Canis lupus familiaris: one gene and its partners. The protein of the gene in region 3 binds, or shares a complex with, the protein of the main gene of each other region. Links are inferred from orthologs where the notes say so. Each region holds a gene or a part of one and is shown on either strand. Other genes may lie near its edges. The genes, in order: POLR3K, POLR3E, POLR3C and POLR3G.

Evidence for each region.
Region 1: POLR3C (region 3) and POLR3K share a complex: the UniProt entries of both Homo sapiens proteins name them as parts of the RNA polymerase III complex. The link is inferred for Canis lupus familiaris from reciprocal best matches to the Homo sapiens genes POLR3C and POLR3K.
Region 2: POLR3C (region 3) and POLR3E share a complex: the UniProt entries of both Homo sapiens proteins name them as parts of the RNA polymerase III complex. The link is inferred for Canis lupus familiaris from reciprocal best matches to the Homo sapiens genes POLR3C and POLR3E.
Region 4: POLR3C (region 3) and POLR3G share a complex: the UniProt entries of both Homo sapiens proteins name them as parts of the RNA polymerase III complex. The link is inferred for Canis lupus familiaris from reciprocal best matches to the Homo sapiens genes POLR3C and POLR3G.

What each region holds. Positions count from the first base shown.
Region 1 is NC_049227.1:40,884,147-40,892,065, reverse strand, and holds POLR3K (DNA-directed RNA polymerase III subunit RPC10), read right to left. Parts: upstream 4,354-7,919; 5' UTR 4,305-4,353; coding exon 4,194-4,304; intron 3,448-4,193; coding exon 3,360-3,447; intron 1,906-3,359; coding exon 1,778-1,905; 3' UTR 1,340-1,777; downstream 1-1,339. Other genes in the region: SNRNP25 (U11/U12 small nuclear ribonucleoprotein 25 kDa protein), read left to right, coding at 4,670-4,711, 5,384-5,474, 5,714-5,819, 6,354-6,428, 6,901-6,958. UniProt on the Homo sapiens protein: Core component of RNA polymerase III (Pol III) which synthesizes small non-coding RNAs using the four ribonucleoside triphosphates as substrates. Can mediate Pol I proofreading of the nascent RNA transcript.
Region 2 is NC_049227.1:23,567,948-23,575,377, forward strand, and holds part of POLR3E (DNA-directed RNA polymerase III subunit RPC5), read right to left. Parts: intron 7,308-7,430; coding exon 7,188-7,307; intron 6,189-7,187; coding exon 6,103-6,188; intron 5,757-6,102; coding exon 5,712-5,756; intron 5,623-5,711; coding exon 5,531-5,622; intron 4,599-5,530; coding exon 4,478-4,598; intron 1,464-4,477; coding exon 1,382-1,463; intron 381-1,381; coding exon 321-380; intron 225-320; coding exon 67-224; intron 1-66. UniProt on the Homo sapiens protein: DNA-dependent RNA polymerase catalyzes the transcription of DNA into RNA using the four ribonucleoside triphosphates as substrates.
Region 3 is NC_049238.1:59,287,753-59,295,636, reverse strand, and holds the start of POLR3C (DNA-directed RNA polymerase III subunit RPC3), read right to left. Parts: upstream 4,266-7,884; 5' UTR 4,135-4,265; intron 3,808-4,134; coding exon of another isoform or gene 3,706-3,807; exon of another isoform or gene 3,617-3,705; intron 3,368-3,616; exon of another isoform or gene 3,234-3,367; intron 2,213-3,233; 5' UTR 2,193-2,212; coding exon 2,046-2,192; intron 1,128-2,045; coding exon 872-1,127; intron 762-871; coding exon 576-761; intron 1-575. Other genes in the region: E3 ubiquitin-protein ligase RNF115, read left to right, coding at 3,706-3,807. UniProt on the Homo sapiens protein: DNA-dependent RNA polymerase catalyzes the transcription of DNA into RNA using the four ribonucleoside triphosphates as substrates.
Region 4 is NC_049224.1:18,563,585-18,571,014, reverse strand, and holds part of POLR3G (DNA-directed RNA polymerase III subunit RPC7), read left to right. Parts: intron 1-3,082; coding exon 3,083-3,229; intron 3,230-7,430. UniProt on the Homo sapiens protein: DNA-dependent RNA polymerase catalyzes the transcription of DNA into RNA using the four ribonucleoside triphosphates as substrates.

The DNA of each region.
Region 1 (7,919 bases), on a different chromosome or scaffold from region 3:
AAGGAAACACCCACATTGTAAAATTTCATCATCACCATAACAAACTGTTTTGGAAAATAACCAAACCAAGAGATGATGAGCTCAGAACCTGATCTACATGTTACGGCAAAAGAAAGCCATCATGTTGGGGCACCTGGGTAGCTGTCAGTTCAGCACCTGACTTGATCTCAGCTCACTTCTTAATCTCAGGGTCATGAGTTCAAGCCCTGCATTGGGCTCCAATGTGGAGCCTACTTAAAAACAAACAAACCATCACCATCGTGCCAAACTTAAAGATTATTCATGTCTGGAAAAGATACCGTCTCAAAAATGTAAAAATTTCTATCAGAGGTATAAATTTGCATCCCATGATTTCACAAGTGAGACTTCATTATTAAGAGATTTAGAAAAGTAATTAGGTCTGAGGTCCTGAGCAAAAAACGAAACTATCCACAAACTAACATCCTACCCCGCTCCAGTCCAGGATGTCCTTTTCCTTTTACTAATAAAAAGATGAAGGGCAGCCCAGGTGTTTCAGCGGTTTAGCACCGCCTTCAGCCCAGGGCCTGATCCTGGACACCAGGGATCGAGACCCACATCAGGCTCCCGGCATGGAGCCAGTTTCTCCCTCTGCCTGTGTGCCTCTCTCTCTCTCTCATGAATAAATAAATAAGTTTTTTTTTTTTTTAAATGAAGGAAGCATAAATATAGTCTACCTAATAAATTTATTGCAATCCTAGGAAACAAGAACAGAATGATAAATTGAAAAGCATGTTATCAGTATTCTGTTACCAGGAGAGCCCTAAGCATGGCAGTTGTTTGATGTCTGCTTCTCAAAGCACTCAAAACAATGAGAAAGCGGTCTCTTGCTGCAGCAACACGAGTGGGAGGACCCAGCACTGGACTCGGGGTGGAACTCCACAGATCGCTTTAAGAAATAGCAAACTGGACACGGGGGAAATCGCCAGCTTCGATAAGGCCAAGCTAAAGAAAATGGAGACGCTGGAGAACACCCTGCCAACCAGAGACCATCGAGCAGTAGAAACGGAATAAAATTTCCTAAGCATCTAGAGGGTTCCCCACCCACAACATCTTCGAGACACCCGGGTCGTGATGTAGAGGAAGAGCCACCTGCGAGATGGCCACGAGTGACAAGCTGTGCTGTGAACCCAGGCACTCCACGCTGAAGGCTGCCAGCCTGCAGGTCTCTGAGGGCCGCCCCCCAGCCCCCACCCCGCCCCAGTCAGACTGCCAAACTCTGCAGTTTACCCTGGGATATTATAGCAAATTATTTGTATGATTAACGAAAATAAAATATACTTCTTGGCAAAAAATTAAAAAAAAATAAACACTAGAAAAGCAGTATTAGACTTTCCATTTTAATTAAATATTCAGAATAGATAGTGATAAGTTTACAATTAAGTTAAATACTTAGATACATCTAATGTCCTACATTATAACATTTTACTTTATTAGTTGTGCAATCAGAGTGCATATTTAAGAAGGATAATGGTGAAAAGATGTCAATTAGCCAATATACCTACAAGATCCACAAACAGGATATTAAAAAGAACACACTTACTTATGTATACCCTTCCCTGCACACACAATCCCCCTGGATATAAATGAGCTCATCCGCTGACTGCCAGATGGGCTGGTACCCTGACCAGCTCCCGTGAAAGGGTTAGCTTTTGGCCACATCAGCAGAGACAGTTCAGGACAAACAGTTCACACTCCTGGCTGTGAATCCACCCTAGGGAACAAGGTAGGCAGACAATGACACAGCTGGATCCTGGCCCTAGTCCCTCCAGCGGTGTCCACACTGAGCATTGCAGCACTTGTAGAAGGTGGTCATCGGCTCGTCTGCAGAGCGAGTCTGAAGCTGCATGAAATAGGCACGAGGATGTTCGCATTTAGGACATGACTCTGGCAACGAGAAAAACAAGTGACCCACATTATGCTCATGACCAAACACACCTGCTAGAAGTAGGTAGGTATTAACACACCAAATCCCTCCCCGACCCCAATCATCTGGCATCCCCTGCCTAGGGCACCTTGCGCCATGACTGAAAGGCTGTAATTAGTGGCATCATTCCCACTACACTCTCACACTGAGGGGACTTGTGACCCTGGAAAACACTCCTGCTCCCCTCCCTGAGTCCCATTTTTCTTCTCAAATCTGGTTGAAGACTAGCTGGAAATGTGACATGAAATGTGGCTTATGGCTACCATGTGCATGATGGGGTCCACTCTGGGCAGATTCTTCCAAGTGCATCTCCATCACCTAAGCCCTCTCAACTTCCTGGAGGAGCCCCCAGGGGATGACAAATCCACTTCCCATTAAATTTAGGGATCCATCTCGGCAGCAGTTCCTCAGGCCGTTCTTATGAAGACCTCACCATACAACCCACACCTTTGCCAAATACCTCAAGGCAAAGTGACTTCAGTTCGGGAAACTGACCCTATGCTTGATAATGCCTTCAAACACTCACAAACAGCACTTTGAACATTAGGTACCAAAATCATCTTCTTTTCTTTCCTGGCAAATTCTGCCAATGCTAATTTTACCATATCAGATTTAGATGTTCTTCTATGGGGGAGAAAAGATAATACTAAACAGGAGTTGGGTCTTCCTCCGCTCAACACAGATGTGTTTAGGGCTCTCTTCTTTCCTTCCCTGGTCACATCTACCTCTATCAGACAGGAAACAAGACTTGAAATAAACATGTGAATGCTCTCTGCCATCAGCTTTTAAAAATCTACACCAGGAAGAAAAATAAATAAATAAATAAATAAATAAATAAACAAACAAACAAACGAATGAATGAATAAATTAATTAATTAAAAATAAAAATCTACACCAGGGATCCCTGGGTGGCTCAGTGGTTGAGCATCTGCCTTCTGCTCAGGGTGTGACCCCGGGGGGTCCCAGGATCGAGTCCCACATCGGGCTCCTGTATGGGGCCTGCTTCTCCCTCTGCCTGTGTCTCTGTCTCTGCGTCTCTCATGAATACATAAATAAAATATTTTTTAGAGATAATTAATTTTAAAAAAGATCCACAACTGAACAAATGGACCATATACTCTTCCTTAGGCTCCGACTTTCATTACTGCCATCGGTTGCTCCCCGCACAGCCGCCACTTGAGGACCACGCTAGAGGCCAAGTGCTGCGGGGCTCCCTTCACGCTCTCACAACGGAGGGAGGCCACCAAGGTCATGCGATGTTAAGAGGCTGTGGCTTTGAGACTAACCCACACCTGTACGTCTCTGGGGTTTATGCCAATATTGCCTGTGTAAGAAATAAATCACTAAAGAAGAAAATACACACGCTATTTTTAGGAGCTTCCTTCCTCAAAGGCAGCGCGGCCTCAGCTCTCACCTGCGGTGGAGTCCACGTTCTCCCAGGCCGCCGCGCCGCCGAGCACATCGTCCACTTCTTTCAGCTTCGGGTACTTCCGGTTGGTGACCTGGCGAAAGGCGGCAGGTGTTCAGGCCGCGGGTAGGGGCGCGGTGCTGACCCGGCCGCCGACTGCCCTCCTCCCCGCGGGCTGCACGATCCTGGGCAGCCGCGTCTCTACACCCGCGGCGCAGGGCTCGGCCCGGGTCCAGGGGCTCCAGCGTCGGGCCGGCCCAAGAGGCGGATGCAGCCGGGACCCCCCACCCCACCCCGTCCACGCTCGGCCCGGGCCCTCCGCGCAGGCCCCCGGCTCCGTCCCGGGCGTCGCGGCGGCGGCCCCAACTCCCGCGGGCAGCTCGGGGCGGGCGGTGCGCCGCGGCTCCGTCCAGGGCCCGGGTTGGGGCCGCAGCACCGACCCCAGGCACGCAAGTCCCGTAGAGGCGTGTCCGCAGGTGACCCGAGTCCGCCAGAGCCACGCTGCTCGGCACGACCCAAACACGGCGAGGCTGCGGGCGGGGCGGGGAGGGCAGCGGGAGCACGTGCAAAGGCCCGGCGGCCGTGTCGGTGCGCGGCGCGGGCTGCTCCCCGGGGGCTGGCGGCGTCGGCCCGGACCCGCAGTCAGCCGCGCCAGCGCACAGGGCGGGCCTGATCCGGCCACGGCTCCGACGAGGCCGCCCGGGCCGCCGCCGGGGACGCCGCCACGGGAGCCGGGTGAGGCCAGGCCGCTCCCGATACGGCGGGGGGCGGGGGCGGGGCCGCTGGAGCACCCCGGCGGGGCGGGCGTCGGCTGCTGGGCGGGGGGCGGCGGGTGATCACCTTGCGCGTGATGTTGTGCACGTAGGGGCAGGTGTTGCAGGCGAAGCGGTGGCAGCGCTGTCCCTCCTCCACGATCAGCCCGTTCCCGCAGCCCGGACAGAAGAGCAGCATGGCTGCCCCGCGCGCTCCCGGCAGCCCCTGCGGCCGCGGGGCGCCGGCGTCGGGCCCGTCGCGAGCTCCCATTGGCCCGGGCCGCCGCCGCCCCAATGGCCGGGCCGGGTTGGCGCTCCCAGCAGCCCCTGCGGCAGGCCGCCTCGAGCCTCCCATCGGTCCCCGTGGCAGCCCCGCCCCTCGCGGCCGGAAGCGGCGGCGGCGCGGTCGGAGCGCGGGGCTGGGCGGGCGCCCTGGAGCCGGCGGAGGCCGAGGCCGAGGCGGAGGCGGCGGCGGCGCGGCCCGAGGCGCCCGAGGCCGAGGAGGATGAAGAGGAGGCGCTGCCGCACTCCGAGGCGGTGGACGTGTTCCAGGAGGGGCTCGCCATGGTGGTGCAGGACCCGCTGCTCTGCGACCTCCCGATCCAGGTGCGCGGCGGGACCTCGGTGCCTGACCTCCCCCTGTGGGCGCCAGAGGTGACGATGCGGCGGGCCTCGATTCTCCCGTGTCCTTTAAGGACCTCACTGACCCGAGCACGAGCGGGGGCAGCAGGGGACAGGGACAGGCGGACGGTCGTCCGGTCCCAAGGCGGACCCCGACGGCGCCCCGGGCGCCCCGGGCGCGGCTGCGCTGCAGGTGCAGGTTCTAAGGTCGTTTCCGTAGTTGAGGCTCAAGTGGGGAGAACGGCTCCACCCCGGGACTCCGCATCGAGATTCGCGCCCCGCCCGAGGACGTTCACTCCTGGGTTGGGCGCCCCGGTCACCCTCGCACACCGGCCTCCCCTCCCCCCCCCGCCCGGTGTCGCCCTGGATCCCGGACTGACCGCGCCTCCTCCTTCCCAGCCCCAGAGCCCAGATCTGGCGCTCACCCTCTCCTGTTTCAGCGCTCCTCTTTTCCTGAGCTTTAATGCACTTTGCACATTAAACACTTTTAAAATGTAGGTGCAACCGGGAAACCCTAGCATAGAAGTAAGAAATCTTGTCTCTCGTCTTTCGTAAGATACGGCACTGCTTTTCCGATGCTATCCGCTTGTCTTGTCTTGTGGTTTGGGATAGCAAAGGCAGCCAAGGCTCCCACCTCCACCATTGGTCTTTCTGCAGGTTACTTTGGAAGAAGTCAATTCCCAGATAGCACTAGAATATGGCCAAGCGATGACAGTCCGCGTGTGCAAGATGGATGGAGAGATAATGCGTAAGTGCTCGCCCTCTCCCTGCGGACCCTGCAGTCCAAGCTGTCACGCAGACAAGACGCTGCCATGGCTGCTCAGGGGAAACTCAAGAGCCATGTACGTCGAAGGGCATCGGGGCAACCACAAGCCTACCCCACCTGAATTTGAGCCTCCGTCCAAAACAGTCTGGACAGAGCTTCTGGTTCCTTTCCTGCCGTCCTAGGCTGTGGCTGTGGATCCTAACATGGCTCTTCTCCCGCAGCTGTGGTTGTGGTGCAGAACGCCACAGTCCTGGACCTGAAGAAGGCCATTCAGAGATACGTGCAGCTCAGGCAGGAGCGTGAAGGGGGCATTCAGCACATCAGCTGGTAAGTGGAGCCACTGTTGCATGTGTGCCACAGAGCACCGAGGAGTTCCCTGTCCTGAGCGTCCCGGCGCGGTGGGTGCCACGGTGCCTGGGAGTCCTGCCTCAGTTCTCTTTCATCTACATCACCTCACCCAGGCAACTGGGCTTCTTAAATGGGGGCACCTTGGAGCATTTCCAGCGTAAGTGGTCTCCTTGGTTACAGACGGTGCAGCTGCCAGCGGCCCTACCCCATCTTCCCCTGGGTGGTCTCCTCACTCCTGCAGCATGGGTCGTCTCTGTCTCCGTGCTGTAGCCTATTTCATTAGGAAGGTGTGTTTGGCCCCCAGCCACCCCACACGGCTCTTTCAGAGCGGTGCCTCTTTCGAGCTACCTCGGGCCTGGTGTGTACAGGGTACAGGACAAGCCAAGAAGAGGCTGCCTGCCCTGGGCCCCCCAGAGCTGAGCATCCCGAGCCCATCTCACACACAGCTGCTGCGTCCCAGCTGCCCAATCACCCTGCTTGTGGTTTACCCAGATCCTCATCTGGATTTTGCAGGTCCTATGTGTGGAGGACCTACTACCTGACCTCTGCAGGAGAGAAGCTCACAGAGGACAGGAAGAAGCTTCGAGAGTAAGTTCACACCACATTTTGAGCTGCAGAGAGGCACCTGGTCTGTTGCCCTTTAGTACCCAGGCTCTGCCAGAAGACTGGGGCCTCTTCCGAGGGAGGAGGAGTCTTAAATCAATCACTGGAGAATTTGCAAGACCAAGAGAGTCCCTGGCTCAACCAACACCCTCCTGCAGGGAGGTTCCTGAGGGCTCTCCCTACTGGAATGGGAGGCATGGGGGCAGTGTGAGTACTGCTCACCAGTGGTAGAGCGGGGCTTCCTAGAGCCAGAGGAGGGCAGTGTGTGGGAAGGTGAGAGGCTGCCTGCTGGCACGACCTAGGTCCGTGAGACGATGGCCACTGCCACTCCTCACCTTCCCAGACACAAGCTGTTCCTACCTTTTTTTTTTTTTTTTTTAATACCCTCCCAAGTCTCAGGTGAGGCTCCACACATACCTTCTGCAAATCACACACTAGAGCTCTTCTTCTTTTCTAGTTACGGTATCCGGAACCGGGATGAGGTGTCCTTCATCAAAAAGCTGAGGCAGAAATGAACCTCCAGAAAGACAATTAGGTGCTGGTGGCCTGCACCCAGCTGGAACAGAGCTAAGCCCTAGGTCCAAACATCCTAATCACATGGCAGATGGACCTGGCCCTGTATACAAAATAAATCGTTTGCTTCTTAGTTTGAAAAGTCAAAAAGCCACAGTTCCTGGAGCAGGAGGGACCGCTGCTGCCCAGGCACAGAGGGGAGGCAAGGGCAGAGGATGGTGCAGGTGAGTCCTAAGGTCCAGAATGCTTCCACTTGAGCCCTGTGGCCAAATCATCCCCTCGCGATAAAACCTTTTTACTGTGATTTCTACAGCAAGGGGAAATAAAAGCAGATGGCCGGCTTTCTGTGTGTGCTTCTGCAGAAACGGGGGCCGTGCACCCACCAGCATGTGGCTGAGGTCTCCAGCCGTGGCTCACAGGGTTCACCTATAGTGACACACTTCACCCTTTGGCTCCTGGAAAGGGAGGTGGCCTGGGGCAGAACTTGGAGCTGCTGGCTGGAGAGGGAGGGCTGGGGTCAGAGTGCCTCTCCGTGTGCCAGGCGGCAGGGGTGGGGGTTGGGGGCGGAATGAGACAGCACAGCCGTGGGTTCTTCTCTCATTGTCAGCTGCCGGTCACCCTGGGGAAGGGGGCAGGAGATAGCCGTCCACCCTGCTGAGGGACTTCACGGGGAGGTATATCTCACACTTAACTTCCCTGTTCTGGGGAACTGTAAGGTGGGGGGTGTTGCGCGCAGAGGCCTGAAGAACCTCTCCCTCCATGGCCCTAGCCAGAAACCAGAAAGACGAGGCAGCTCCGGTAAGTTAGTGGCAGCTAAAACGCTCCCAGTCCATTTATTGGCCACCTGAAGTGGTCGTCAAGAAACTAGTTAGAAGATAATTGTGGGAACTAGTGTAGTAAATGCCCTGAAGCACGATAAGTTCACCAGGGTGAACAAGGCACGAGAGGTCAGGGCCCGGCAGC
Region 2 (7,430 bases), on a different chromosome or scaffold from region 3:
ATGCAGCCCCAGCCCAGACATGACCCAGGGAGCGAGGTGGCTGTGGACAGCCCAGCAAGCCCTTACTTGGCCTGGATGCCCGTCCACAGCATATGCTGCCGCTGGACCACATCTGGATGTTTCTTGATGAACTCCCCATCGTAAGGCAGTATGAACTCCCAGCCTTTGTTGATCCTCACTACGGCCATGTGCTCCAGAAAGTCCTTCACATCCTCTGTGCAGAGCTGGGGGCAACGACAGAGGTGAGGCCCGCAGGCCTGACAGGCCACCAGCCCCCATTCCCCGCAGTGGCAGGGCCCGGGCCTCCCAGCATCACTTACTTTGGTCACTGCTGCCACCTCTTTCCTTACCACCCACCGGCTCTGCGTGAACTTCCACATCTGTGGGAGAAAAACGAGCATGTTTCCAGGGGGCAAAGACGGATCACTGATAAGACCATCCTCCAGGCCCCTGTAATTGTCCTGGAAGCCTGGGATTTCCCCACTAAGAACTCAGGTTTGACTAGACCCTCTCCCAGGCCCCGCTTTGGCAGTGTCCGCACGAACAGAGAACAGCTGGCAGGCAGTGGCAGATGGCACGTGTGCTTCGGCCAACAAGCCCAGGATAAAGTATCCACTGCACTTTGACTCCGAGACAAAAATAAACTGCATCTGCACCTAGATACTATCTGTCCAGAGAAGCTGGGACATCCAATTGGGAAAAGATGCTCGCACTCTTTTTGAACAGCTCAAGGGCTGCATGAACATGTCATGGTCACTGTGGACAGCCTAGGAGACCGAGGTCCCCAAGTTCAAAGCACAAAGCTGAACTTTGTGAACTCCCTCATGGGAGGCAGTGCAAATCCAGCAGCCGGGGTTCAAACCTATGAGAGGGATACCCTGGCCAGGACTCAGGTCCTGGATAAGGGCAGGGCATGAGGCAGGGCAATGGACTGGAGGAATGAGCTAACTGAGGAGTCGCAAAAACCCACAGCAATAATGCAGGAACAGGTAGAAGAGAAGCAGGCCTCCCGGGACTATGGAGAACACGACTGTCAGCCCCACCCAAAGCCAGAACTATTCAGGGATTTGGGCCCATGGTACCAGACTGTCCACAAGCATTCATAATGAGCCAGAAATCTGGTTTGTACCAGAGTCCACCTATGGCCTCTGGTTTGTAATCCCCAGGCCAGAGAACTCCCGTGTTCTTGCAAAGCCCAAGACTCCAGGATTCTGAGTTGAAGGACAAAGAAAACAGGGTCCAGAGCTCTGCCCCTGGCCTGGCCACACATACCTGCTCTTCTCCCACTGCCCAAGCTAAGATTCCAAAAGCCCTGCACTGGCCCCAACCCCCTCCCATGACCCTGCCTGACCAAGCAAAGGGCAGAGCACTGAGCACTTACAACAAAGTCTCGACCCCGGCAGAGCACCTCGGCAGGCACGCCGCTGTGAGGGCTGGAGGAGTCCTTGGGATACAGGATGTCACTGCCAATGAGAGCAGGAGCAACAGGTCAGTCCCATTCCTCAGCCCTTCTGCCTCCCGCAGTGCCTGTGCCCCAGCCCAGCCCAGCCCAGGCCTCTCCAACACCGGCCAGTGCAGCTTCCGTTGGGGCTTCCCGGAGCCTGGCTCTGTGAACATGTCTGTAGAAAAGCAGCACTCTTAAAACAACCCCCTCCCCCAAGAGTTCCTCCTGTCAACCCTTCTTGACTTTGCATGCACACATTAGCCTAGCCTGAGAGCCACCGCAGTCAGGGAGGACAGGGGCTCAGAAACAGGCCAGCCTGAGACAGTGAGTCCCACAGGCAAGGCAGCTGTGAGGCCTGGAGAGACTGGGCTGGAAAGCAGGACACGAGGCCTTCACCACCTGCTGGAAGGGACGGGCAGGCAGTGTGAGTGGGAGCAAGAGGGGTCAGGGGCTGGGACCTGGATGGGACTTGGATGGGCCCTGAGGCATGAGTGGGGCGGAAGCCTCTGGAGAGAAGGGAACCACCAGGCAAGCCTAGAGAACTTCAGGGCCTGGGGGCACAGGGTGCTGAGGCTTACGAGTATAACCTTGACCAACTTCGGCCACAGACGCTGTCACACTCACACCACCCCAGACCATCCTATGCCTGGGGTGCCTCTGCTCTCCTGCCCCCTCCTTCTGCTAGGAGACTTCACTCCTGCCCTCCTCAATCCTACCTGGCAACCAACTAATACCCTTCCTTTAAGGTCGAGCTCTGTGTCCACTCCCATCCCAGAAACACTCTTTGGGGACAGGGACATGGCTTATGTTGCTCATCACTGCCACACAGAGAAGGGAGCTGCTAGGTAGGTACTGAACAAATGGATAAACGTGGTGCGTGCCCTGGGCTCATCTGTAATGGTGCCCATCTCTGCCCCACACAATTCCCAAGGGCAGGGACAGTGTAGGAATGACAGTGGAGCACAGGACACAGAACAAGCAATCACGACATAGTTCGTGAACAATGTGTAAATTTTGCATCACCTCCACACAGAAACAGAAGGGACACGGCAAGAAAGGGGCGCCACCCACAGGCCACAGCATGGCAGTGAGGGCTTGCAGCAGGAGCCGAAGAACCGGGGAGCCAGAAAACACACAGCCCCAGAGGCCCCATGTCCAGGTTACAGGGATGGACCCCAGGCTGAAAGGGCAGAAGCACCAGGGCCACAGGCACTGCTGGGCCAAGAGCTCAAACCCCAGCTCCGGGACCACCTTGCTGCCAGATGTTTGGCAAGTGTCTGCCTCTCTGGGTCAGTGTCCTTGAGTGAGGGGACGGCCCCTCCTGGCTCTCACCCATTCGTAACGTAAATATACCTGGGTGGTCCCACTTAATGAGGGATGTGCCATCCAACATCCAAAGACCTTCCATAATCAAACACGTGTGTGGCACAACAGCTCCAACTACTGACAGACACTGGACAAGTTTACCAGTGCAAGGGCGCCACCAGGTGGCAGTAACGTGAACAGACTCTACAATTCACTTGGCCAACCAGCTGAAATGACAGGAGCTTCTGCAAGGAGTTAAAAAATTTGGAACAAATTTTTAAAGAGATTGTTCACCTTACACCACACCTTCTAAAAAGTGAGCCCTTACTAGTGTACCTAATGTCACACTATTTAAAATAAATATAATTCAGGGCACCCCCAGTGACTCAGCGGTTTAGCGCCGCCTTCGGCCTGGGGTGTGATCCTGGAGACCCGGGATTAAGTCTCACGTTGGGTTCCCTGCATAGAGCCTGCTTCTCCCTCTACCTGTGTCTCTGCCTCTCTCTCTCTCTGTCTGTCATGAATACACAAATATTTTTTAAAAAATAAAAATAAAAACATAATTCAGACATACATGAAATGCACCTACACTTACTACCAAGGGTCTGAGATATGCTAAGCATTATACTGAGTGTCAGGGACACAAGGTAGGGGTCAAAATAGAAGTCCCTACTACCCCCATCCCTCTTGAAAATAATGGTCTGGTGGAAGGGTCACAGAAGAGAAACTACTGAAAGGCATCAAGCCACATGCTCCAAACCCCACGGGACACATGAAACAAAACTCACACTCAGATGCATCTTAATGAACTGTGGAAAGCCACAATAAGAGAAAATCTCAGAAAGAGCCAGAGGGGACCAAGGGACTCATCACTAGAAACAATGGGAATGAGAACACAATGAAACTATGTCAGTGTGTGGAAGGGAAACCATCAACCTCGAATCCTACACTCAAGAAAAATATCTTTTAACAATAAAGGTGAAGGGCAGCCACAGTGGCTCAGCGGTTTAGCACCAGGGCGTGATCCTGGAGACCTGGGATCGAGTCCCATATTGGGCTCCCTGCATGGAGCCTGCTTCTCCCTCTGCCTGTGTCTCTGCCTCTCTCTCGGTCTCTCATGAATAAATAAATAAAATCTTAAAACAAACAATCAATAAAGGTGGAATAGATATTTGCAACCAAACAATACCCAAGTAACTCCTCCCCCCTGCAGATCTTCTTTAAGGGAACACCCCGGCAATTTTTGGCAGGAGGTAATTATCCCAGATAGAAACTCAGATGCAGAAAGGGATGATAAGCAAAATCAAAAAGAAAATATGTGAAATCTGAAGAACACTGACTGGATAAAATAACATCTTGTGGATTTTAAACTACAATTAAAAATATAGAAATAAAAAAATAGAAATACAATGGCACATGAGTTGAGAGGAAGATAAACAGAAAGCATTCTAAGGTCTCTGAATTGTACTGGATAAGAATAAAATACAGCCATTAATATAACTATGATCAGTTATGAATGCACTCTGAATCTGTAGGCTACTCACTAAAAGAACCCAGAAAGGGTAACTTCTAAATTAGCAGGGAGAAATGGAGTAACAAAAAAGGATCAAGTAGCAGGTAAGAATGGATATAAAATGCAGGACAACCAGTGCTATGGTAGACTTAAACCCAAAACATCAGTAATCACGAACTGAAATGCATCAGATGGTCCCATGCAGAGGAACTCACCTCTTCACCACCCAGTTTCCCTGGACCAGCATCGCCACCTTCTGGATGCCACGCAGAACAGCCACAGAGTCGATGGAGGGGCCTAGGAGGCTCATCAAGTTGGCAAAAGGCATGACCTTCACTGAGGAGGACACAGATGTCAGACAAGCGAAGGGGCCCTTCCTTCTCCCTCACCAAGTCTATACAGCTTCAGGCTCATGTAACCACTCCAGCGTGTGAATAACACTGACACATGGGTAATAATAAGAGCTGACTTCACTGGCTGCTTGTGTGGGCACCCCACCTTACTGAATTCTGGAGGAAACACCCCAAGGGGTGCTCCTTAAAGGTAAGACTACTACGGGGTGCCTGGCTCAGCTGGTAAAGTCGTGACTCTTGATCTCAGGGTCATGAGTTCAAGTCCCATGTTTGGTGTGGAGTGTACTCAGAAAAAAAAAAAGGTAAGACCATGACTCCTGGGGCCCAAAAAGGGCCCGGGGAAGGCCTGTTGGCAGCGAGGGCAGTGGCCTGGCACCCCAGCAGCCCCAGGCAGAGCTGGGAGCTCGCCTCTGCTCAGGCACCTGGAGATCCTAGAAGTGGTATCTCAGGAAAGGAGCCCAGGGCCTGGGATTAAGCTCTGAGGTTCAGGACTCACCCTACCCTACAGGTTCTGGCCCCCAAGTCCTCTGAAAGACACCAGTCCCTACTGGGTGCAGCCTGGTGCAGGTACCACAAAACAGTGCAAGGGAACGAATGGAGCTCATGTTCACGTGCAAGGCTCTGTAGAAGCCATGAAGAAGCCTCATCTCCGCCCTCAGGAGCTATCCTAGTTCCCTAGTCTCGGGAACATCAGTGGCCTGCCCAGGCTCACAGCAGGGCAGTGGCCCAGCCAGAACGAGAACAGGAATCAGAGCCTGCTGAGGGAGCCCAACAGGCCACTGTGGTGCATTCCTTCTAGGCAAGGCCAGAGCCGTCAAGCCAGGCCCATGCTGAGTCCTTAGTCTGTCCTAGAGTCCATTTCCCCAGGAGGTGGTAGGGCTGGGTTCCCCCTGGAGGAAGTGGGTGTCCACCCACCATTCTTCATCAAGATCTTGATCTGATCAGCCAGGGGCAAGGTGCGCAGCTGGGCCATGGACAGGACGTTGCTGGGGGCCACGGGTTTGTCTCTGGTGAAAACAGAGACAGTGGGTTAGAGGAGAGGGTAAGAGGAAAGATTTGGGGTGGGGAGGGTGGCATCTGGCCCAACTCTACTCACTTCTCCTCTTCTGGGCTGGGTGGCATCAGCATCATGAGGTACTCACTGCAGTGGGGGAGAGGGCAGGGTCAGCCGCTCCTGGGCTCTGCCTGCTCCACCCTTGCCCACAAACCCAGACCCCACCAAGGCTGAGGCCTCCCAAAGGAGGGCTGGGGGTAGGTGGCAGACCCACACCCACCAAGACCTAGCTCCCCCACAACTTGCAGAGAAAGGACGACAACCTCTTTCCACACCCACCCCCCGGCCCTCTCCAGAGGGAGGGCCCCCTCCCATGTCCATTTCCCCTGCTACAGAAGGGGCCACAATCCCTAGGAAGGCCCCCACACTGAAGGGCACCCCCAGGGCCAGTGGTAGGCTCGGTAGCTTAAGACCCTGGCCCAGCCGGTCCCACCTGGGTGACTTGACGAGCTCTGTGTTCTCAACCCCACTGGAACCCTGGCACAGCAGGTACTGGCGCTCATGCTCAGAGCGGCTGTCCTGTGGGGGAAGGGGCAGGGTGGGAAGACCCTCAGCTACCACTCCAGGCCTGCACCACCCCCCTAAGATCCTTTGCACTCCAGTTCTTACCCCTGCATCACCTTCCACTCCAGCCGCCTACTGTCCTGCCACACGGCCAGCCAGAGGATCATATTCAACCACCTGAGCATGGCATTCAAGGCCTCTGTGGTGTGGCCTCAACCAACCATTTCCAGCTTTACAACTGAGCAGGCCCAGCAGCCATGTCCTAGGTGCCCTGCCTGTGACCATTACCATAGGACCATTAACAGCAATGACAAAGTAACAGCTAACAGCCACTGAGCACCTACTACATGCCAGGCTAAGTCCAATGGCTTCATATACACATCAACTTACCTCATGAGGTAATTTGCCTAAAGCCACACACTAGGAAATGGCAGAGCTTTCGATGTCCGATTCTAAGGCTCTGCCAACACCAATCTCTTTTAGGAGGTTCCAGAGATCAGGAGTTGCTGTTCCCTGCCCCCCACTAGAAAAATGTTGGGGAGGCCTAGGGCATCTTTGGGTTCAGCTCAATTGCTTCCCTTACTTGATGCAGCTTCAAGGATTAGGTTCTAAGCCAGCACACGAGATGGAAACCTAGTAAAAAGCATGCCTGGCAGATACACGGTGAACTCAGCCAGTGGCCGAGGGCCGGTTCTCCACGGAGCACCTTCATTCAGGATCCATGATGCATAAAGCTAAGTAAGCCCCACCCAGGGGGTGGCAAGATGCTCACATTGAGAGCCTAAGGGATGTCAAAATCCCTGACCCAGGAAACAGCCGACTCGTTTCCCAATCTCCTGCTCCCCCCGGGACACATGCTAAGTGGACCAGCTGTCCACCAGACTTTATCCCCTCTTGCTGGCCTACCACCAAGTGGCCCTCACTGAACACGAAACCAGTTCAAGATGAGCCACTGAGGCCACACAGAGCCCCGGGCTTCTCTCCCAGGCCCGCACCTCAGGGACCCTGGCTCACCCTCAGGCCATAGTAGTGCAGGTGCACCCAGGGCTCTTCAGCATGCTTCTTCTGCAGGAACTCGTAGGACTGCACACGGCGCTGGCGGGCCTGCTCGGACTCTGGACGCGAGAACCGCACCTGGGAGGGGGGCGTGGCCTCAGGCCCGGGACCCATCCTGGGCTGCTGTCCCAAGTCACCAGGGACACCGGAGAGCCCCACACCACTCCCACCTCCCCATTTCCCGACACAGATCTCTTAAAT
Region 3 (7,884 bases):
TAAAGAACAGATGCTGTCTGTATAACGTCTTGTATGATCTAGCCCCTATCTTTCTATCCTCATCTCATGGCTCTCTTTGCTCACCATGCCTTAATTACACTGACCCATCTTTTACTTCCTCAAATATCCTATTTTTTTCTCATTGTACACTATTCCTTTTGTAAAAATATTTATCCTCTGTACTCCTTCATACATTACCTCACTGGTTAGTTCCTGCTTCTGTTTCAAATCTTAGCTCAACTGCTACTTTCTCAGAGAAGCGTGTGCTCTAAATCCTGAAAAATTTGGTTCCCTGTTACATATTTTCATAACATCTCATACTTTTCATTCATAGTACTAATCAGTTTCTTAGTTATACATCTATCTGATTATTTGAGTAATGTAACTCAAGTCTTTTTTATATTAGTCTTAAGCCCCAAAAGGTCAGGGACTTGTTTTTTCATTTTACACCACAGTATCTGGCATAGAGTAAATATTTGGTAACTGCTTGATCGATTCATTCACTAATTTAACAATCTTTGAAGAAGAATCCACAACCAGGGCAAATCATAGTTTCAGGGGTCAAAATTCCTTACCGATCAAGCTCAGTTTTGGAACCAGGTACATGTCCTTTTCACTGATCACAAGAATGGGGGCAGGTGGCAGTGGCCCTGGGTCTGAATTCTCAGTGGCAGGCACCCAGGGGCAACGCTGTACAAAGTGTGTGTCTGCTAGTCGCACAAATGTGTTTGATACCTCAGCATAGTCCATGGTCTTGCCATCTGTACAACAGGATGAAAGTGGCAGATGAGATTGCCTAAGTTAGCTGAAGTTCCAGTCCTGCAGCCAGCCAATCTACGCTTTTGCTAACAGCTATGAGTACAGTACTAACCCTCCATAGTCTCTGTGAGCCGGTCTGCCACTTTCTTCACAACAGCTGACATTGTCATTTTGCCATTCAATAGCAGCTCCTCAACAATGAGTTCTCCGGTGTCACTGTACAGTGTTTTGGCAGTATAGATGTACCGGGGATACCTAAGCATTCGCAATACGCGGCTGCACTGGGCTTCATACTCCACTACACCACGTTTGTGCACTTGATATATCACCAGGTTATGTTGGATAAGCACACAGAGGGCTTTTTTTACCTAGATAGGACGCAAAAGAAAGAAAGAAAAGATCTGAAGTCATAGCTCATTTTTGTTGCCAATTTTTGTCTAATAATTTACTAAGAGCTGGCTAAGGATCTCTGTGCTTCTTCCCTCCCTCCATTTGGATAAGCTATTGAGAATCACATGTCAAGGGGCACCTGGTGGCTCAGAGATTGAGCGTCTGCCTTTGGCTGGGGTTGTGATCCCTGGGTCTTGGTATTGAGTCCCTTATGGGGCCCCCTGCTCAGCGGGGAGCCTGCTTCTCCGTCTCCCACTCCCCCTGCTTGTGCTTTCTGTCAAATAAATAAAATCTTAAAAAAAAAAAAAAAAGAATCACATGTGAATGGAAGAAAACAGTAAGATTCCTCCCTCTGACACTCATTTCCTCTGATCATTCAAAGTATAATGTGGGGCACCTGGGTGGTTCAGTTGGTTAAGCATCTGACTCTTGATTTCAGCTCAGGTCATGATCTCAGGGTTTTGACATAGAGCCCCTACATCAAGACAAAGGCTGAGGGTGGAGCCTGCTTCAGATTCTTTCTCACCCTAGCCGGAATATGTGTGTGTGTGCACAGCTTCTCTCTAAAAACAAAACAAAAAAACCTTTCGAAGTACAATGTACTTCCCCTCCGTTATTCTTATTCCTTAAAGGTAGCACTGAGATTAATAGACTTATTATGAATAAGCAAGGTGTAGCATATTAGGAGCAAAGATTTGCCTAAGAAGCCATGATGAACCAGGAATACCTTGAGAGCAGAACCTTGAGGCCTACATCTTATCCCCCCCTCATTCCCCAAATAACACTGTTCTGATCCTAGGGCAGACTTTCTCTCTTTTTTTGTTTTGTGGGGTGGGGAGGAATAATATTTAAAGGTAGATAAAGAATGAAAGCAAATTAATGCCGTCCACACATACCTGATCCAGTGATGTTCCTGTGTCATGGGCAATTACTCTTAGTGGCTGGCTGCCAGTCCTGATTAGGTGGACTCCAATTTTTTCTACAATCTCTCCAAAATGCTCTTGTAGCAACAAAGAGCAAAGTTTAATTTCTGCTTGAGTCATTGTACTGAGAAGTCTCAGAGCTAGAGGGAAAAAAGGCCATATGATGGATAGTTTTCCTCTTTTGTTGGAAGTAGTGCAAATTCGTGTACTTTCTAGATGGCAATTTTAACAGTATATCTTTAAAAAATTTCATTTTAGATACTGTCTCAAGAAAATAAAAGTCACTGTAATTTCCCTTATTATACTGATATGCTGGAAACAACTGAATGTCTAACAATAGGAATTAACTCAATAAATGATGGCATACCCATACATTGGAATACTAGCCACCATTTAAAACAAAGTATAATACATATGAACATAGAAAATTGTTCCTTAAGTGAAAGAAGCAGGTCACAAAGCAAAACGTAGAGGACAATTAAATCATAATGAAAAACAAACAAACAAAACCGCAAGAAAAATGCATAGAAAAAAAGACTGGAAGACTATATGTCAAATTTACTTTAATGGGATTATGAGTGATTCTAATTTTCTTTAAAAGTTGGGTGTAGATGATTTTGCGATGTCACGGACTTTAGATTCAATACTCCATTGCTTGGAAGAATTAAGGCCACTGTTCACGGCCGTTGGGAATGAACAGGTAGTGTCACCTCAGTCCATAAAGGAAATGACAACTTAGAAGAAGAAAAGGAGGCAAAGGAAAGCTTCTCAACTGGGTGTTTCAAACAGGAGATGAAGTATGTTGTCTGAAAGGCAGTATTTAATTCTGAAATTTCTACTCCTTGAGAAAGTAAACATACACAGAAACAGACACAGCTGACCCTAAAGTATAATTACTTATTATCCCAAGGGCTACCAAGCATCGAGTTGTTCAGTTAGTCTCCCAAATCCCCAGAGGCCAAGTCTCCGCCTCTCAGCTCTATATTCCCATCCGCATGTGCTTGGGGAAGCATCCCGGACCCTGTCCCATCCTGCAACAGGACTTCCAGGGAGCCTACTTAGCTCCCGGCTCTTCACTCCCTTCACGCAGGTCCCCGTTCCAGACTCGGTCCCCTGGTCCACAGACAGGGCCGCTTCGTCAGGGGAGCATTTTCCACTAACCTCGGGGTCAACGCAATCTAACAATGCGGCTTCTTGCGGGTCCCACCGGCCGCCGGGGCAGAGGGGGAGCCCACGGCCCTCCCTCGCAGGCGGACGGGCAGCCAGGAGGAGGGAAAGGGGAACCACGCGTGCCGCTCTACCCCGGAGTTTCGGTGGTTTCCGGTGACGCTCTTTCTTTCCTCTCGCTGGAAAGCTGGAGGACCGGCGAGCCGCTGTCTGAGGAGCCGGCGGGCAGGCTGCGGCGGGCGGACTCTCCTTCCTGCGCCTCTTTGGTGCCGGGAGGCGGGCCGCGGGGTCGCCGTCCGCGCCGCCGGCTCGCTGGGCCCGGCCGACTCACGTGACCGACGCGGCCTCCGGCGGCCCGCCGCACTTAGGAAGCGGCGGCGGCCGAGGCGACGACCGCAGCCCGGAGGTAGCGGCCTGGCGGGGGACGGGCCGCTGCCCTCTCGGACGGCCGCGGCGGAAGAGAAAGATGGCGGAGGCCTCCGCGGCTGGCGCGGGCGCAGGCGCCGCTGTCGCCGCGCACCGGTTTTTCTGCCACTTTTGCAAGGGCGAGGTCAGCCCCAAACTACCGGTAAGAGCCCCGTGGCCCCTGCGCTTGGGCATCCGCGGGGATCCTTCGCCCCGCAGTCCCCGAAGGGGTCTTCAACGCCCCGCACAGCCCGGATTTTTCTGACACCAGCCTTCCAAATGCCCGCTGCCCGCTGTTTTCTGGTCTCCGGCCCCAAATCCTGGGCGTCCCGGCCCTGGCTCCAGAGCTCCCGCCCAGCCCTTTTCCCCTTCGGATGTTCCACCTGCCCCTCGCTCCCACCCGGCCCTTCACCTGCGTCGCTTCATCTTTTTTTCCTCTCGCAGCAAGTTCTGACAACTCTCCCCTTAGTTTTCTTTCACTCTTTCTTACCTTGTCTCTATCCCACAATGACCTCTCTTTCCCCCCTCTCGATATCTTCTGCACTTCTCACCTTCCTCTACGGCCTTTTTCACTTTTAATCGGACACCCCCGCCCCCCAATCCCCAGGGGAGCCAAATAGCGGATTGCTGAGGGTTGTCCCTGTTCGCTTGTCTCTAGGGAAGGAAGGAAGAAAGCGCGGAGAGAGAGAGGGTTGGAAGGTAACTGTGGGGAGGTGAGGATTTTGCTCCTCAGTGGTTTCCAGGGTTCTTGTGAAAGTGAAAACAAGTGTGCTAATGACTTGCAGACTGCCTTGTCCGTCCTATCACTATTGAAGGAAATGGCTTTAGGAAGAAGTCAGGACATGTTGTCCTGCTGCCCGTGTTTTAGCATCACCTCCCTTCCCCGCCCCGTTCCCCGATTCTGTCTCTTCACTTAATAAAAAGACCCATGATAGAATGCTGGGGACTGGCTCCTCTGACATAAGATTGGTTTTCACCAGTTTCTGCCAGATTGTCTGTTAGCCCCTGGAGAGTGGTGCAATCGTTGTGAAGAATGTGCTTCTACAGCAGGCTAGCCAGCTACAACCCTCCAAACCCAGCTCTTGTGTGTTGGGTTATAAGCTACTACAGGGAGACCCACAAGAGTGAATGTAGACTCTACCCTTGGCCAGCCATCTTTAGAATTAGTTATGGTTGTTCTTTTTCTTGGAACTATCCAGCCTCAGCCTTAAGACAGGGGGGCTATATAACAACCCACCTCTGTATTTACTGTGTCTCAGATACAGCCTGTGAGAAATCCTACTAAATGTGTCTGCATGCATGTCTTAGTTTTTAATTTTTTTTTAATTTTTATTTGTTTATGATAGTCACAGAGAGAGAGAGAGAGAGAGGCAGAGACATAGGCAGAGGGAGAAGCAGGCTCCATGCACCGGGAGCCCGACGTGGGACTCGATCCTGGGTCTCCAGGATCGCGCCCTGGGCCAAAGGCAGGCGCCAAACCGCTGCGCCACCCAGGGATCCCTGTCTTAGTTTCTAGAAACACAAATGGAGTCTAGTGAATACATGCCTCAATGGTATTTTAGCTTCTTCACCAAAAGTTGTGCTTTTTCATGCTTTTAGGGCATTTTCTTTCCATTTGCCCCACCCCATCCAGGGTCATAGTTTCATCTATGTGCTATGTTACTTTTGCCTGCTGGTTCAGCTCTGTGTGTGTGCAGGTTTTTTTGCCATGTTTCAGTGCTAAGAAGAGCAGGTGCCTTGGTGTCTTGTTTTTTGTTTTTTTGTTTGTTTGTTTTTGTTTTTTCTTTTGCTAGTGGACAGTAGAGCCTCCAGAACTCTCTTTAACCACAGAGAGGAGGGTCTTGAATTCAGCCAGTACTTGTGTAACTAGTGACATGCTGAATGTGATGCCCTGTTGAACATTGCAGTCTTCTGATCTTTAAGTGCTATTCACTTTGCCTTTAAAAATAAGTCTAACTTTTCACAACTTATTATATCTTCTTAACATCTCAAGTCCCCACTTCGTGCTCTTGAAAAGGGATAGTTTGAAAGATGTGGTAGGAGTTTTTTATAAGCCTTAGTTTAATGCCCAGAGAAGTTCTTTTTTTTTTTTTAAAGATTTTATTTATTTATTCATGAGAGACACAGAGAGAGGCAGAGACATAGGCAGAGGGAGAAGCAGGCTCCATGCAGGGATCCCAATGTGGACTCCATCCCCTGCCTTGGGATCACACCCTGAGCCGAAGGCAGACGCTTAACCACTGAGCCACCCAGGCATCCCAAGAGAAGTTCTTGATCTTTTTAGTATTGTTTATTATCTGTCATACCTGATGTCTAAGTTGAATACTGCATACATACAAGGTTCTCATCTGAAGGTCCTGGAGACAATACCAAGGAATATATGGTTTCTGCCCTCAAGGACCTCATAATTATGTCGGAAAGACAAGACAAACATGGAAAAAGAAACAATATACATGAATAGGGTGGATATAGTATGTGGTTAAGAGTTTAGTGAGAGAGGGATACGGTAGCATTGGTGATGTGCAGGGAAGAAGTTACAGTTCAGATAGGATTTAAATTGAGTTTTGAAGGATAGGTAGAATTCAAATTGAGAATAGCACAGACTGCTGTAGAAAAGAGTAAATTGAGGGAGAAGGAGGAAATATTTAGTAAAATCATTGTTGTCATGCATTTTTAGGAAAAGGTGCAATGAGGTCAAGATTATAATTTTGATTCATATATGAGCCAGTAAGTTTCATGTTTCATGGCCATTTCTAGATCCTTAAGCCTAAGCTGTCACCTTGAACATGTTCGTTGTAAGAATGATCAGGTCAGTAAGTATCTGGTTCAGGACAAATCTGACTGCTATTGAAAAACCAACTCAAACCCTGGAAAGTCAGTAATATGATTTTCATACATATAGGAAAATGTTGAAAGTTTTATGAAAGTAATTTATGTGAACTTGAGATTCCTTCACTATAAGTTCTCAGTGTACAGTAGGCATTCATTGTTTCTTGAATTGGACAAATGTTATGGGAAACCAGATGTCTTTTTGAGGGTAGCCAACCCAGGTTATCTGGAATTAATTTTTCTTTGTTTTGATTTAATTTGCATCTCAAAAGGGTGCTTACTCTTGTGCTAGTTGGATCACAAGAACTCTGAACACCAGAGGTGGAGTATTGAGTTTTACTGTCAGCTTTTAATGAGCTTTTGCTAGGTGGGTTTCTTGACTCCGTCAGTGGAAAGGACTGCTTCCTTCAGAGCCATCTCATCTTTTACCAGTTTATTCCCCCATAGAATCATAGTGCTGTTCACTGGGATTAAGATGCAAGGTTTTGGAACTCTTATTTCTTCCTCAATTCTAGTGTATAGCCCTTCTTGATATGTTTGGAAGTGTGTGCAGGCAATAGCAATAGCTTACCCAGTGGTTCAGCCCTGAAACTCTCCTTAGGTTGCTGTTTATTGTTTTTCTTGTCAGTACTACTCTGAAAGATTTACATGCCCAACTAACCTTAATGTCTGTATTAAAAAAAATAATTTTGGTTATAACTTCTGAGAGAGAGTACACCTAATGCTATGTAGATTAAGCCAAATTCAGTTGAATTAATTTGGTGAAGTAACACGTCTTACTGCTAAATCCTGATCCATCCATTTTAACTTTGTGTGTCTTTGGTTTGGATCCTCCTAGATAAGAGAACAAGAGAGTCATTAGAATAAAGATACAAAGAAATGAGAAATCAAGCAAGAAGAGAATTTTAGAATGAAAATATATTTAGTGGTACTGTTACCATTACTGTTATCATTAGACATCAAAAAAGAATCTGTTGGGCACATGGGTGGCTTAGTTGGTTAATCATCTACCTTTGGCTCAGGCCATGATCCTAGGGGTCCTGGGATGGAGTCCTGTGTTGGGCTCCCTACTCAGCCAGGGAGTCTACCTCTCCCCTGCCTCCAATTAAAAAAAAAAGAAAAAGAAAAAAAAAAAAGACTCTCTATTCTAGAAGTAACTATTGATTAGGAATTTCTTTCTCTTATTGAAAAGTATTTTCCTATTTACAGTGAAAATAATTTTAGTAAAGAGAATTTGACTTATTACATGCTTTATTTTATTTTATTTTATTTTATTTTTTTTAAGATTTTATTTATTTATTCATGAGAGACACAGAGAGAGAGAGAGGCAGATACACAGGCAGAGGGAGAAGCAGGCTCCATGCAGGGAGCCTGATGTGGGACTTGATCCCGGGACTCCAGGATCACGCCC
Region 4 (7,430 bases), on a different chromosome or scaffold from region 3:
CAACCTGTATTGATTGAACAGAGTCTTACTGTTTTTAAAGCTTCCCGGAAAGAAGTTGCTAAGATGACTTGTGCAATAAGGAAGATTGATCTGATGTGGTTTCTCATCAGAACAAATTGTGTTTCCCGATTTTCTACACTTGAACACCTTTTTCGTTTTGCACATTGTTAAAACTGGAGTTTTAAATCTGGAAATCTAAATGAGTTAGCTTTATTTTCTCTCAGTTAAAGAGCAAAATTAGCATCTCGCTGACTGTTATTGTTCTTCAGCAAAAGTAGTTGCAAGTTTTATTGTAATAAAACGTCTGTGGGTGGAGAGGAAGGGAACAGTCAAATCTCATGATTAATGTGTGAATAATCAGACAGCAGTAAACTAATATTTGAGCTTTTATCTGCTTGACTTAGAAGAAGCTGTCTCTACAGGGTGGCTGCTTATTATTTAAACTGGAAGAATTGTTCCCTCTCTATAAATTAACTGTTTGCAAAGTGTTTCCACGATGTGTTAATCACATTGTTCTGTAAGATAGTGCCAGTATATAGTTAAATCTCACAGAGAAGAAAATGGAGACTAATAAGTAGATAAGCCAAAACTAGTTGCTAAGTGCAAAAAGAAAAAAGTAATAAGACAATATGTGTGGCTCTGAGATCATTTTTTTTAATTGCATAAATCTGCTATGGTTAACTGATTTAAGTATTTTATGGATTTGATTTGGGTCTTTGTGATACAAATAAAGTTGTTTATTTAAAAATATTTGAGGTGACAGTAATGGAAATAAAGACTTCCTAGTCCTACAGAGCAGTGAATGATTTTTATATTTTGAAAACATATTCCATAACTGGTTAAATAAGTTTATTGTTAATTATGAAATAATAGCTAATAGGATTTTTCAGATACAGTATATACCTTGCACAGTGCATTTAAAGTGTACTTAATAAATACAGCACTATGATTCTCTTTTAACTACACAAAATTTGTGGGTTGTAGGCCTCTTTACTGCAATTTGATTAAAATAAAAAAGAAAAAAGTCCATATGTTAATATTGGTGTAGCATCATTCTGTGTGGGTATGTGTATATATATATTTATAGACACTTTAGAAGATCTATAAACACTATTTTGTTTACTTGCAATTTCCCAAAGGGATTATCAGTTAGAAAAACTGCACACAGTATATTGTAGTAATAACTCATATAAGGCAGCATAGGTCAGTGTGAAGATAAATCATCTTATGTCTACATTACCTTGACTTTATTTGTTCTGCCTCAGTGGAGTGAAGTACGAAAGGTGAAACTTGAATTTTGGTTAGAAATTGAATCTATCTGATGTAGTGTTTTTATTGCCTTTGATCTCCTTAAATTCAAACTTGAATGTAATTAAAGAGATTTTAAAAATAAATATTTAAGAGCCAATAAAGGAATCGCGAAGTTGTAGTCACTCCAGATACAAAATGTGTTTTCTCTCTATATGTAGTCTACAAAGCAAATATAATAGGATGGAGCATTTGCAGCTATATGAACTAACGTTCTGATTATTGTTTAAGAATAATCATATCTTAGCTAAAGTGATCCTGTGCTTTAAGTATGAGTATTAATATATGAAATTATTGTTGTATCCACTCCTATAAAGCTTGTGGAATTCTCTCACTCGTGCAAATTAAGCATAGATCAATTTAGTGAATGGATAGTGACAGTAATGAAAACAGACCCTTTTTTATCAAAGGGAAAGAAATGTTGGTAGTCATAGAAATTTAAAGATGTAACTGTAAAGTTAAATTTGTTACGAGAAAGTAGCAGTGATTTTAACAGTGAATAAGTGAAGCCATCAAGCAATCAAGGTTTCCTAACAACATCTCTCTTTTGCCTCCTGAGTTGCTAGGAAGTGCTAATGTTGACAGTGGTTTTATTTTCTTTTTTTTTAAGATTTTATTTATTTTATTCGAGACAGAAAGAAAGAGAGTGAGCACACAGCTAGGGCTGGGAGCAGAGGGAGAGGAGAGGGAGAAGAGACTCCTGGCTGAGCAGGGAGCCTGATGTGGCGCTCTATCCCAGAACCCTGGGATCATGACCTGAGCCAAAGGTAGACGCTTAACCAACTGAGCCACTCAGGTGCCTGACAGTGGTTTTAACTGTTATTTGTTTGTTTTGTTTTTAGCAAAGATTAAAGTTTTAATCTCTTTCTCTTCAATCTGCCAGATATGTTAAGAAGTAAAAATTCCTGGAAATAAGTAAATAATGAAGGAGAACAGAGAGAAAGATGGGGATAATCTGCAAGCAGGATAATCCACACCAAATGATTATGTATTAATTGTTTTAAATGATCTCTCTTTGGGGCACCTGGGCGGCTCAGTGGTTGAGCATCTGCCTTTGGCTCTCAGGTTGTGATCCTGGGGTCCAAGGATCAAGTCCCATATCGGGCTCCTTGTGGGGATCCTGCTTCTCCCTCTACCTGTGTCTCTGCCTCTCTCTCTCTCTCTCTGTATATATCTCTCATGAATAAATAAATAAAATCTTTAAAAAAAAATTCTCTCTCTTATAAACTAAAACATAGGAGCAGGAGCACCTGGCAGGCTCAGTTGGTAGAGCATGGGACTCTGGATATTAGGGTTGTGAGTTCAAGTCCCAGGATGGGCATAGAAGTTAGTAAATAAATAAATAAATAAATAAATAAATAAATAAATAAATAAATAAAATTTTAAAATGTAGATATTTTTGAAATGTTACCGTTATATTTTCTTTTCTCCTTTCATATTGAAAAGATAACAAAGTAGCATTCTGAAAGTTTCTCTCTATAAACTAAATCAACATTTTAGAAGAAGGTAGGATAGAAACCATAAAAATAAGTCATTGTGCTTAGAGCCGATACCCAACAATACCTGAGACCTAATTATAAAGTAACAAAATCAATGAAAATACTAGTATAATGACAGGACAGAGAGTTCCTCCTTTCTTGAGTGAATTCACAGTTTCCTAGGTAGTGGTCTGGAGGATTAGAATAAGGTTATAGGTAACTGTTTTCTTGAGGCTAAGCAGGGAGGTCAAAGTGTAGTGGTTTCCATTTAAATTAATGAAGTTCATTTATACCAGGAATTGGAAAAGAGAGGTGATGGTGAAAAATCAGATGAGGAAAATGAAGAGAAAGAAGGAAGCAAAGAGAAAAGTAAAGAAGGTGATGAGGAGGAGGACGATGATGCTGCAGAACAAGAGGAATATGATGAAGAAGAGCAAGAAGAGGTAATGGTTTATTTGGGGTGGGTAACAAAGTTACAAAGTTTACGGATTATCTAATAAGGAATTGGATATATGTTATATAATTAAATTAACAAACCAAAACCAAGTCAATGGCAATGAAGGATATGTTATTATCCCTGGTATCAGTTCCTTAGTTCAAGAGAATTATTATAGCATTGAAATAATGATACCAAACTGAATATAGGAAGTGAGAATAAGTTGATAGGCAACCCTAAGTGGAAGTCCATAAGTGAAACAAATTGATTGATTATTTTAAGATTTATCTACATAAAAATTTAAATATGCCATTACTGTAATTAAGGACTTAGTCATTTAGGGTGTGAAGAGGAAATCCTTGGAATATCATCATGTTTCAAGCCCCAAAGTTCATATGGACCCTGCCAGAGAACAGTTATGATCTAACCTCAAGTATTTGACTGAGTTAGGACTTAGTAGTTTGGATTTGGGATTTCTAACTTCTAGAAACATGCATGGTGCATTTCAAAATAAGCTAGAGCAAATAAGGATATTTTTGAGCAGGGTAACTTTGTTGGTCACAGCATCTTTGGGACTTAGTAGATACCTCATGCAGTAACCCTAGTTTCTTTCTCCTTTCTTCTCCATGGCAGTGAACTTTGTCTTCACTCCATTTTAGCCTCTCACAGGACAATGAATCTTTACTTTACCTGAAACTGCTATAACTATGAAATCGTTATTATTCATTTACATTAAATTTGGTTTGTTTTAGAATTTACATTAGTGTAAAGGGAGAGGTACAGATCCATTTTTATCTATTTCCAAATGGCTAGCCAGCTGCTAACCTCATTTATTAAATAAATTGCTTTCTTCATTGATTTGAAATTCCCCTGTATCAGCTATTAGATTTCCCACTTCTATTTAGATATATTTCTGGGACCTGATTTTTGAACTATCACTCTGCTGTTCCAATTAACAGAAGCTTCTGATTATTTGTTAATGTTTCTAGGGAGAATTTTCCTGAGTATTCTTTATTCTTCCAGATAAGTTTTAAACATTTTAAAACTAAACATGTCTTATTGTCTCCAACTTTCTTTCCAGATCATTCACTTTTTTATCCCTGCACTCTGATGTGATTGAGACTGCCAGACCTCTGATTCTCTATTTCCTCTTTACTAGTTCCCTGTCTCAATTTCCTTCCCTAAGGGGCCTAGACCCTTGCTCACCCTTAAGTGCTTCCTTGCCATTACTCTCATCCCTTGTCCTCTCAGCACATCCTTGAGAACAAGGTAACCTTTGATCAATTCCACTGTCTCCCCTCCAAACCACCTATTGAACTTTTCTGAGGAGTCACAGAAACTGATGCCACAAAAACAATACTCACTAGCCACTGTTGGCTGGCTCACATGCTGGTTTCTCTGTTTCTCTTATCAAGTCATTTGTCTACATCAGTTTAGATCATCCCTTTTCTTCGTAATCCCTCTCCTTGACTGCCTTTCTTAGTAGATAATACCTTCATACAGAAAATGAAGCCATATAGAAGGAACTCCCCTAATTTCATGTCATCTGCCTTCAAACTAAATGTCTTTCTTCCTCCCCCTTCATTTTCAGTGGAAGAAGTAGCCTTCATTTTATTTGGAGCTAATTGTCTGGCCTTTGGGGGATCTATAATCCTTATATCCCTTCCTTTTTTCATATTTTCAGGGTTTTTACCTACTACTTACTGCTTCCATTCATGCATTAAAATATGTTCATCTTTCATTATAAAGTATGTTGCCCACATTCTCTTCCAGGTGTCCTGGTATCTCCTGGAAAGCCGCTTAGCTGGCTTCACTTGCTCACTCCTCCCTACCCTCCTCCATTTAGTTCTTTTTAATGTGATTTCCATGTACATGCCATTGAAATTATTGCCACCAAGTTCACCAATAGACAAATTTTAGTCCTTATTTCACTTTTCTGCAACATTTAACACTGCTCACAACTTCATTATTAAAATATTATTTCCTTTATTTAAATTCAACAGTTTAAGGCAATTATGGCATCAACTATATGCCAGGCATTGTGCTGCATGCCAAGACATAGGCAAACATTGTTCCTTTTCTTGCTTTTTGTGACACAACACTTCTTGTTTTTCTCCTATTTCTGGTACTTTTTCATGGTCTCTTTTGAGTTCTTCTCTTTCTAATCTTTAAATGTCAGTATTCTTCAGACTTCTTTGCTTGGATTTCCTTTTCTCTCTGCAATCTCCCTGACTGCATCCCTAGCCAAAATTTCAGTTGCCCTGTATATACACCTATTAGTCCTCATTTTTCTTCATTCACCGTATAATAATTGTACACCAAGCGTATGCTTGGAATTGTACTAGGCAAGGGAAATATCAAGATAGATACAGTTCTCTCATCAGGGATATGGGTATAGTGAGGAGACATACTAGAAAGGAGACCCTTACAATACATTGAATAATGCTATAGTGTAATATAGTAGAGGATGCCATAGGGGTACGTAAGAGGGGCACCAAGCTCCGTTTTAGTGATATGAAAAAGATATCTCACAGAAGACAGTCTGAAGACTTAATCAGATCAAGATGAGAAATGGATGGGAAGAGACTTGCAGATAGAGGAAAGAGCACGGAGAAGTTTTGCAGGTGATGAGAGTGTAGCCTAACAGTGTGGACCAGGTAAGTCAATGTGGCTGGACTAGAGAGTCCAAGTGGGAGTATGTGGAGATGTGAAGCGGAAGAGACAAATACAGGATCTTAAATACCAGGCTGAGCAATAGGACTTTATCCTGCGGGCTATGAGGAGCCTTTGGAGCCTTTGAAGGGTTTAAAGCAGTGGAGTGATTTTATCAAATATTTGTATATTAGAAACCTTGGTTGCTTGGATTGGAAGGAGCCATGGTTAAATCATGCTTGAAAGCTTGTTGCTATGAACCAGTGATTCTCAACCAAGGTATATTTGGTAATATCTGGAAACATTTTTGGTTGTCCCAACTGGTCTTAGGGGTTGTGCCATGCTATTGTCTTTGAGTAGGTAGTGGCCTGTTTTCTAGACGAGACTGGCTTTTGGAATGCTCTGTTTATAAAGTCTGCTTGAGGTCTAGTAATTTCAGAATTCCATGTTAGGCTTTAGCAGAGTACTAAGCACAGTTTATATAAATGTATTTCATTCAAAACAAACAAACAAAACCTTTCCACTTTAATAAAGGATATAGGTTTTGGGTATGAGGCTGGGTGAGAGATGGAGAGGGAAGCTCAGTTAAAGACTTTCTAGATTTAAAATCATCTTGGCCCTTTTTAGCAATTAATGAAAAATTCATATTAACTAACTTACTGGACATATTGAGAATTTGATAAGCATTATTTTTGAAGAGTAAATGGAACAAATTATCTATGTAACACCTCTATGTAAAATGAGAGAAATGCAGACTTTTTCTTTCTTCGGTCTTTTGAATAATGTAATTAAAGAAAAAAGCAAGGGTTCAAATGAAAGCCAAGAACCATTTAAGCCATCAGTTTCAAGAAGTTCTCACTTTGTACCTGCATCAAGATTATTAACATCATGAAATTACCTAAGGTGAATGACTGAACATACTTGGAGGTGCTCACATCTGAAGCATAAGTTGTATATGCTTGATTTGGAATAGTGAGGTAACCTTCCAATCTCATTTACAAGATGATCTCATTTGAACTCTCAGCCATGCCACCCCTCCTCTGTACACTAGCTCCAGGCTACAGCCAGGCTTCTAGATGTTACTGGATTTCTCGGCACCAGAGAAACCACGCCATCTTCCTAGAGATGCTATGGAAACTTACTGGATACAGAAACTTACAGTGTTTAGGGAAGACAAAGTAATGAAATCTACATCTGAATAATATATCTTGCATTATTTATATAAATTTATATATTAAAAAATCCCACCATGCAGATACTAAAAAAGCTGATATCCAGATGACCTTTTCAGAATAGTCTCTATTTCTTACTCTATCATAATTCCTGCTATAGAGAGCAGAGATGTAGAGATTAATTTTTTTATGGCAGATTTCAATGATGAATAAAAATCTAGTGATGAGTAAAATAAAAAAAACATAGACTTTATCACCCAGCTTTAACAATCATCAATTTATAGCCAGTCTTTCAACCACTCATTCATTCACCCAATCCACTCTCACTTCCATTCCCCATCCACCTTGGATTATTATAAAAAGCAAATCCTAGACATTGTATCA